Linked DNA regions of Arabidopsis thaliana. The protein of the gene in region 1 interacts with the protein of each later gene in a pairwise test. Each region holds a gene or a part of one and is shown on either strand. Other genes may lie near its edges.

The links. Proteins that work in one complex are often made in the same cells at the same time.
Region 2: the proteins of TCP16 (region 1) and ERF4 interact in binary tests that used the Arabidopsis thaliana proteins (3 or more experiments, as listed by UniProt).

Annotation. Positions count from the first base shown.
Region 1 is NC_003074.8:16,529,342-16,533,532, forward strand, and holds TCP16 (TCP domain protein 16), read left to right. Parts: upstream 1-1,837; coding exon 1,838-2,335; downstream 2,336-4,191. UniProt on the Arabidopsis thaliana protein: Required during early processes in pollen development.
Region 2 is NC_003074.8:5,119,182-5,123,979, reverse strand, and holds ERF4 (ethylene responsive element binding factor 4), read right to left. Parts: upstream 2,559-4,798; 5' UTR 2,509-2,558; coding exon 1,840-2,508; 3' UTR 1,418-1,839; downstream 1-1,417.

The DNA.
Region 1 (4,191 bases):
CAGATAAAGCTGAAAATCCCAAAAACCTCTTAGTAATTCAAAAAAAAAAAAAATAGCTGAAAAGCAAATCTCTATTTGATCAATTAATTCGAACGCTCAATAGTATGTAAGAAGTCATTTACACAGTACCTCGGTAAGTGTTTGAGGGTTAAATATTTGTTGAATTTTTAACATCACACTAATTTAGAGTATAATCTAAATTATAAGGTATACGTATGAAATCATAGCTCAATGATGATAGAATTCGTTAATTATTCTCGTAAAAGTGAATATTTGATTTAAAATGAGTCAAAATATATTTGATTTGACGAATTCTAAAAGTGTTCCGCTTGAGTTATAGAAACATGCTCAAAATGATGGTGATGACTTTTTTTTAGTTCTTTATTTGAAAAGTCAGTTTGGAAATGAAAACAGTAAGGCTGACCAAACAATATACAGTATGTTATCCAACTCTTATCCGTTTTAAGAAAACAAAGTATGTGTAAGAGTCGGGTAATATGATATCAGGTTATTTCTAAACCATCTGTCTTGTAACCCATCATTTTACTTGGATATATTTTCTTACATACAAATAATTTATTATAATAGTTTAGACATGTCAATTGGACTAGTCCAGTCTGACAAAGTCCAGAAAATTCGAATATATTTTATTTAGTCTGGTTCGGTTAGTAAAAATTTTGAAATAAAAAAATTTGAACTTATATTTCAAGATCTGGTAATAACAGGGACAAGACTTTTCCAGGTTTTTTATGTTTTTCTTTCCAGAAAAAAACAAATTTATAATTTATAATATTTCTGAAAGATGGATATATGAACAAAACAAATCAGTTGAAATTTAAATAACCATGAAAGCCAGTTTATTTTCAAAAAAAAAGGTTTAAAATCAAAAAAAATAATCTAATTTTTTTATTTAAACTCATAACAAATAAAATATAAAATCAGAAGATTTTAATCTAGACAGTCGAGCCAAGATTTGTTTTTTAGATTTATAGTAAGGCACAATTGAAAAACTAGGTTTAGGGTTTTCAATACTATTAAAAAAAACAAAAACAAATATTCCAATTAAAGAAAAATATTAACAAAAGAAAAGTAAAAAAAAAAATTAAAATTTTTTTAGGCCGGCTTGAATCTGGTGGGATTAAGCCTCAAAAACTTTTTATCCCGAATGGGTTAGCTTAAGGGAATTTTCTGGATATATATTTTTAAGTCTGAATCTCTATTTTCAGAATTGATAGTCCGGGGAATTTGACCCTAAATGAAATATAGTTTGATAAATAAACAAATAGACAATATCTGAAGAACAAATTAACCGTCCAAAAAAAAATATGCGAACTCCTATCCAAACACCTAGTTTAAAAATAACAATATAATATTTTAAATAACAATGTTGGAATATCATTAATTTCTAAGGAAAAAAACTAAAACCTTAACTTTAAAAAAATTAAAATAGGATAAAATAGGACTATACTTGTACAGTTGTATCAGTAAATAATAATTTCTGTAAACTGCCAGAAGAAAGGTTTATTTTCCTTTTTTTAGTGGACCTATCAATTAATTATTCCAATATAACTTCTTTTTTTCAGGTCCACTAAATATATTTTCTATACTACATATTATATTACATGATAATATTTCATTCTCAAATATACCTATATAAATTTAAGATTTCTTCTATTTACCAATTAGTTTAATTATTAGTTTGTTACACCATTATTGTTTTCCATACATAACATAAATAGAAATAGAGTTTTCTGTAACGTTTCTATATAATCCAAGTGAAACAAACATATTTTCCACTTCCATTTACAAAAGAAAAAGAAAAAAAAAACAGAGAAAAATGGATTCGAAAAATGGAATTAACAACAGCCAAAAGGCAAGAAGGACTCCAAAAGACCGCCATTTGAAAATTGGTGGCCGTGATCGTCGCATTCGGATCCCGCCGAGTGTTGCTCCCCAACTATTTAGATTGACAAAAGAACTCGGCTTTAAAACCGATGGTGAAACTGTCAGTTGGCTCCTCCAGAATGCCGAGCCTGCCATTTTCGCAGCCACGGGACATGGTGTCACCACCACCTCCAATGAAGATATCCAGCCAAATAGGAATTTTCCTAGTTACACCTTTAATGGTGATAATATTAGTAATAACGTTTTCCCTTGTACGGTTGTAAATACTGGTCATCGTCAGATGGTGTTTCCGGTTTCTACAATGACAGATCATGCACCTTCAACTAATTACAGTACTATTAGTGATAATTACAATTCCACCTTTAATGGTAATGCTACCGCCAGTGATACAACATCAGCAGCAACAACAACAGCCACAACCACAGTTTGAGCTTGTGAAGGAGGAGACGGCGTCGCTGAGAAGGCCAATTTGGAGTCTTTAAAATAAATATTGGAGATTTAAGAGTGTTCAGTTCTGGACGTTTTAGTTCGTTTCTGTTTGCTTTTTCTTTCCTCTTCATGTTTTTCAGTTTGAGAGTTGAACTAGGGTTTGTTTTAGTTCGATCGGTATCCATTTGTCTTTTTTTCTTGTATGCTCATGTTTTTTTAAGATGAATAATAATACCTAAAATTAATTATAGATGTAATTTAAAACTGTTTGTCCATGTTTGAAGTTTAGTAGAGAATTTGATTTCAACAATGGATTAAATTAAACTCTTCACAACAAATTTGATTCATTTTTTCTTTTTTGGACACGAACAATTTCGTTGGTATTCTAGAATAAATAATTCTGTCATAATATTTACCGAAACATAACTTTTATGTACAGTTATTTATTTCCGTTTTCTAATTTGTCAAAATTCGTTTGTCTTTCGAACCTAAAGGTTCCAACGGTTATGAAAACATTAATTAAAAACGGATATCAAAAACTATAATATAAATAAATTAAAGAGATAATAAAAGGAACAATTGAGTAAGAATGTGGTTTTATATCTGTTAAAGAAATTTCCAGCTCACACTTAGCTGGACAATAATTATTTAAGATTTGTTTCTGTATTTAGCTTCATACATCTATTTTAATATTTCTTAATACACAGATATATATTTTAATATATATATATATATATTATTTTCAAGATTCTCAAGGAAAAAAAAAGAAAAAAAAAAGGAAGGAAAACTAAATCTAAAGAATAAGAAACTAATTTTTGTGTAAATAAAAATTACTTTAATAAACTTTTAATAGTTTTCCCTTAAATTCTTTTACTTTATAGATTGGTTAATATGTATTTAGAGAAAAATACTATTTAACCTTTATTTAGATTAAAAAAAAAAACTTGAGTAAGAAAATGGTTTAAAATTCTTAAAGAAAATTCCAGCTCACTTTAAGCTAGAAAAAGAGATTATATAGTTTATAGTATAAAAATAAATTTAATCATACCATGTTTAATAAAATTTGAAGAAAAACTTATTTTCTTTTTCCATGAATAACAAGATTTTTCTTAACAATTAAAATTTCTTTTAGCAACATATATTAATACTTTAGTTTTCTGTTTTTTTGTTGGACATGGGTTCCGCCCCATTCCAAAAAGCCCGGCCCAAATATAGTTAGGCCCATAAGAAAGAGACTTGCGTTTGGTCCGTTACACAAGCTCAGCCCATTAAGTATCGTCAATTTGCTGGGAGCAGAAAAGAAAAATCATCCCGAGTTCATGACCGCATATATCTTCCCTATAAAAGCGGAAAAACACTGTCGAGAAAGGATCCCGAATTTCACGCTGACACATATGTAGAGAGTACATGTAATCTCCTTCGTACAAGTTTCCCCATTGAGTTCCTAGGAAGCCTTTTTTTAATCGTTAGTACGTACGAACATCTTTCGAACCAAACGCCTTGTCCGTCATTCTTGCACCTTTATTCAAACGAGTTGGATACATTGTCTTCTCGGATTGTCCTTGTAAACTCGTACCTTCACCTTGTATAATCTTGTATTCGCCAAACCTAATTCGTCTTATAAGAGATTATCCGTCCTTCTCCTTAAACCTTTACATGAATTGTATGATTTGAGTATCAACAGTTTTTGTTTAGGGAACTACGGTTTCAGCTTCAAGCAACTCTGACGGTTCTAATGGTCATCGATGGCCAAAAAAGTGCAAGAAAGTATTTTTCAAAATAGAATTACTCAGTTATACATAGGGAACAAAAAAAAGATAATACAATAATCGAACATAATTAGACATTCTTAATAAA
Region 2 (4,798 bases), about 11 Mb from region 1:
CTCTTTTAAAAACAGGAGTTTAACTTATCAAATTAACTTCTAAAATATACCTCAACTATTCTGTCTGAGTGAAATTATTTGAATACGATAAAAGATGCGTAAAAACATTCTTTATTTCTAGATATATATATATATTTGTAAACATAATTTACTCGCTATAAATACTCTCTTTGAGAGGACAAAGACTTTGAAATAATACTACTAAAAAGTCTTATTCTCATAAATATATTATTAAAAAAAATGGGAATGTGGGCGCCACCGTCTCTGATTCGGTCTCTTCTGAAAAGGATGATGATGACTCGCGCTGCTTGGCCGTCGGTGCCGCTTCACTCTTTTTTTTTTTTTGCGTAGTTAATAAACATGAAAGTGTATGATCCAGACACGTGGATAAGAATAGAATCTAGCCGTTGGATCTACACGAGAATCACGAAAGGATAGTTATTGACTCTTTCTGATTGCGGAGTTGGAGACAAGAATCCAATCAAAAACCTCTCTTCTCTGCCTCTCATTATGAAGCCGCTTTCTATTTCACACCCTCTTATACGTCGTCGTTTTCTTTCAAACTTTTAACATCATTGTTTTGTACCTATATTTACATTTTCAACACATCACGCCATCATTCAATAAAAAATTTCGCAAGTTAAATTTACTTTCCGCACAAATTTAAAACAACGAAATAAAATTCAAAAAGACCAGCCATCTAGAAATAATTGGCCAAAAGAATATCTATAAATAACACTATTGTTAGCTTAACGGGTCAAATGATGTTGGTTTAGTCCAATTCAACTCCGAATCAATTCAATGTCATAGTTTAAAGAAAATTAATTTTGCACTATAAGCTATATATTCTAAAAGCTTTCAGATAAAAAAAACCAATATCTAGACTAGTCATAGTTGTTTCTTTAGAGACTTTGTGTACTCTTTTTCCATTTTTTGCCGACAAAAATTTGTTTACGAAACTAGAGATCTTTCTTAAAAAAAATTGAACAAAATCTTATCTTTGTTTTGTGGCAGTTTCTTTTCCAAATTTAAGAATCTATCAAATTAAAAATCTAGGTTCTCTCTGTCAGACCTAAAGAGTGTTAACTCTCAGCTTCAAGACTCTTCCAAGTTAGCTAGAAAGAAAAGAAATGAGTATGTCCGTACTCTGTGAGTGGACCCTACTACTAAGTGACGTAAGCGCAAAGAATTTTCTAACTTACGCCGCAGAGAGCAAAACGAGGGCCCACACACGCCGGCTGCGTGTCTGCTGGAAACTTGGACCATTGTTAAAAGCCGACGATACTCAACTACCATTTTATTAATCTCACTTTGAATTTTAGTTTTTCTTATACTTCAACTTACAATTATTTTGTTTTGTCAAATAAGTAATTTTAGTCCCTTCAATTTTTTTAATTTGGTGGTAACGATAGAAAAGGAAAGCCAATAGAAGGAGCCGCCACAACCCACAAGTAGTAATAATCAAAATTTCGGAAATTGGATTGGACAAGATAATTCTGAAGATTACCAAATTATTGATTGAAAATTTGGAAGAACAAAAAAAAAAAAAGTAGTAAAAAAAATAGAGAAACAACATGGGGTGAAACCAAGTCGCAAAAAATTAAAAGCACACAACAAAAGTTCAGATCTCCGGTTATGTAATAATATGTACATAACGATCCATGTCAGCTAAAATTATATTTTTCTCTCTCAGATTTAATCTGTTTTTTCTTTCTAAAAACTGGTAATAAATTTAGACTGAGAGAGAGAGAGAGGAAAAACTATGAGAAAACGAATTTTCACAGCTCAAAAAGAAGAAGAAACGCATGCGCTTCGAATTGAAACGACACCGTTAAAAGCTCAGGCCTGTTCCGATGGAGGAGGCAAATTAAGATCTAGATCTAACAGCTGAGATCTCTTCTCCATCCCACCTTCGAAATCAACGACCGATGACGAATCAGAGTCGCTTTGGGCACCACAAGCCATCTTCGTCGCAACATGCACCACCGGCGATCTAAACGCCGATGTCACAGGAGGAGGCTGACCACGACCTACGTTACCGATCCCCATCAGGTCCAAAAAGTAGACAGGACGCGACATCGGGATCTGATAACACGAGCCGCCGCCTCCTCCGCCGAGACTAAGCTCGAGCTGCGGGGGAACATTCCCAGCCGTCGCTGAAGGCACAACTAACGTCGGAGGAGAAGCACAGTCGAGCGTGCTGCTCTGGCTAGGGCTACGCGCGAAACCGGTAGGGACCTTCTGGTCACTCAGCTCGAGAAAAGTTGGGAAATTGGTCTTAGCCTTAGCACCACGAAAATCACGCGCCGCCGTATCGTAAGCACGCGCCGCCTCTTCAGCCGTATCGAAAGTGCCAAGCCAGACGCGGGTTTTCTTGCCCGGATCTCGGATCTCGGCGGCATAACGGCCCCAAGGACGCTTCCTAACGCCTCTGTAACGAATCTCCTTGGCATTATTGTGGGTCTGGTTAGTAGTAGCCGGGTCGGGTTTCAAGCCCATCTTGGCCATTCTCGGATAGATAGATTAGAGAGAGAGTGGTGGTGTGATAGATAATTGAAGGGAGAAGAGGAAAGGAGAGAGTTGTTTATATATAGGATGGGAGAGAGAGTAAAAGCGACGCTCCTTTTGGGGCGCTTTGTTGTGAACAGTCAAAGCCTGAAATGGTTTTAGCGGCTTCTCTTACAAAACACCAGCGGTTTTCATGGTTTTCTTTTTTACCTCCACTTATCTTTTGCCACGTGTTTTTCTTTCCTCTTTCAAAGAATTTTGTTTTTCTTATCAACCCTTCATTTCTTTTTTAACCTCACCAAGCGTTTTCAATTTTTGTTGATCATCTTATTAATGAATTTATTGATGTATTTAAAAAGTTGAATACATTGTCAAAAATATAGATACAAATTAAATACATTAATTTGATTGACTTTAATTTTAAAATAAAACTTTTTATCACTGGATCTTTAATTTAATTATTAATATTTGGCAATGAGAAAATTAATTGGACTATGTAATCTTTGCATTAAAGTTCTTAATGAAATAAGGATAAATTTTGAAATATAGATCTTACTATGATACATATTTAATCAATCCGTATTTTGAATGATTTATTTTGTGGTGGAAAATATTGGATGCAAAGTCTTTTTTTTTTTTTTTTGTGTAAACTATTTTATCTAAAAAGTGAAATTCATTTGTTATCTGTATGTACAATGTACTAACAAACTTTTGATACAATTTGTAACAAAAAAACTAAAGAAATCCGTACAGTATTTGACGCATTTAATGGAGATGCATGTTGTTTGCTGTTTTGTCTACACAGCGTATTCCCTTGAATGCTGGTGATAAGATTTTGATTTTCATAACCGAGGGAATTAAGAATGTAATCCCACATCTTAATTTAATATATATAGTTAATCTAACTACGAATTGTCATGTGCCATTTACCCTCATGATTTAGGATATAACTACACAAGCTTGCTCTAGTGAGTACACTTGTAATGAACTCAGTTTGTTTTCTCATAACCTGTTGGATCAACCTTAATGCTTGCATAATTGAGAAAAAAACTTGAACAAATATGTGAGTAACTAATTTTTCAGATCATATCAATTTTGTTTTCGTATCTCAAAACTTTTGGTTTAAAAAATACCCAATTTTTTGTAAGACCAATAAACAACTAAAGATACTGTTATGTGTGTAAAAATTTGAAAATACAGGTAAATAAAGTCATACTATATGGCAGTGTGAGTTAAAGACAAGAGTAACTTCAAAAACTAGGAAATAAGTTAAGCAGCGGCGCCTGAAAAGAAGAGAGAAGAAGAAACCAAAGAACAGTATTGGATGACGCAAAAATGTAAAATACGTGGCAACACCTTGAGGACGCGCGGCTTGGGAACCGCGTTTCCATGTACGAGCGTGAATCTCACCGCCAAACACGTGCCGACGGCGATCGCGTGAAAGAAAGAGCGTTATGCGTGACTTCGTAGACTCAGCTCCAAATTCAACTTGGAGTTTGACTGCTTTTTCTTTCGCGGAATAAAACTAAAATAAAAACAAAAGGCTATTTAGCCGCCCCTCCGCCAAAGAAAAACAAAGATGGCCCACAACGCACTCGCTATTTAAATAAAATAGAAAGAGTTTTAAAGATGTATAGTGCCACGTGGTCAACGCGACGCGTGGAGAATGGATGAAGAGAGAGAGAGAATGGTGGCCGCGTCGGCTAACCGAGAGAGATTCTAACGGCGGTGGGCCCGCCGTTTGTTTTGTTCTTTGTTTCCTAAAAGACGGACGGTAATTACATTCTGACGGCAGAACAAGACGTGTGATTAATAGATTAGTTTTAATAAATTTTATGTAATTTGGTTGTTAATTGGCTCTTTTTTAATTGGTCTTTGTTTATTCTTTTACGACAGCTACATATGTCTTCACGCCATGGATAATGGATTGGGTTTCTTGGGCCACAGAATCAGCTGGATATCAGAAAATAAAAAGATTCATTTATTTAAATATATTATCTTTACGTTTCATTAAGAAGATACTACTGTTTAATTTTCTTAAACATGATTATAGACTTAAGCTAGCTTCACTTTTATGCTGTCTCTATATTCAAAACCTCTGTTTGTTTGTAAGCAAAACTTTCGGTACCAAACAATATCACTTCAATCGAAATAAATTCTTTATTCAATAAAAATTATTTTTTTTGTCCGAAACGAATGAAATTTCATATACTAAAATTTGTTATCATTCGTATTTTAATAGCAATCACTAACAAATAATGCTGTTCTTAAACAAATAATGATCATTCAA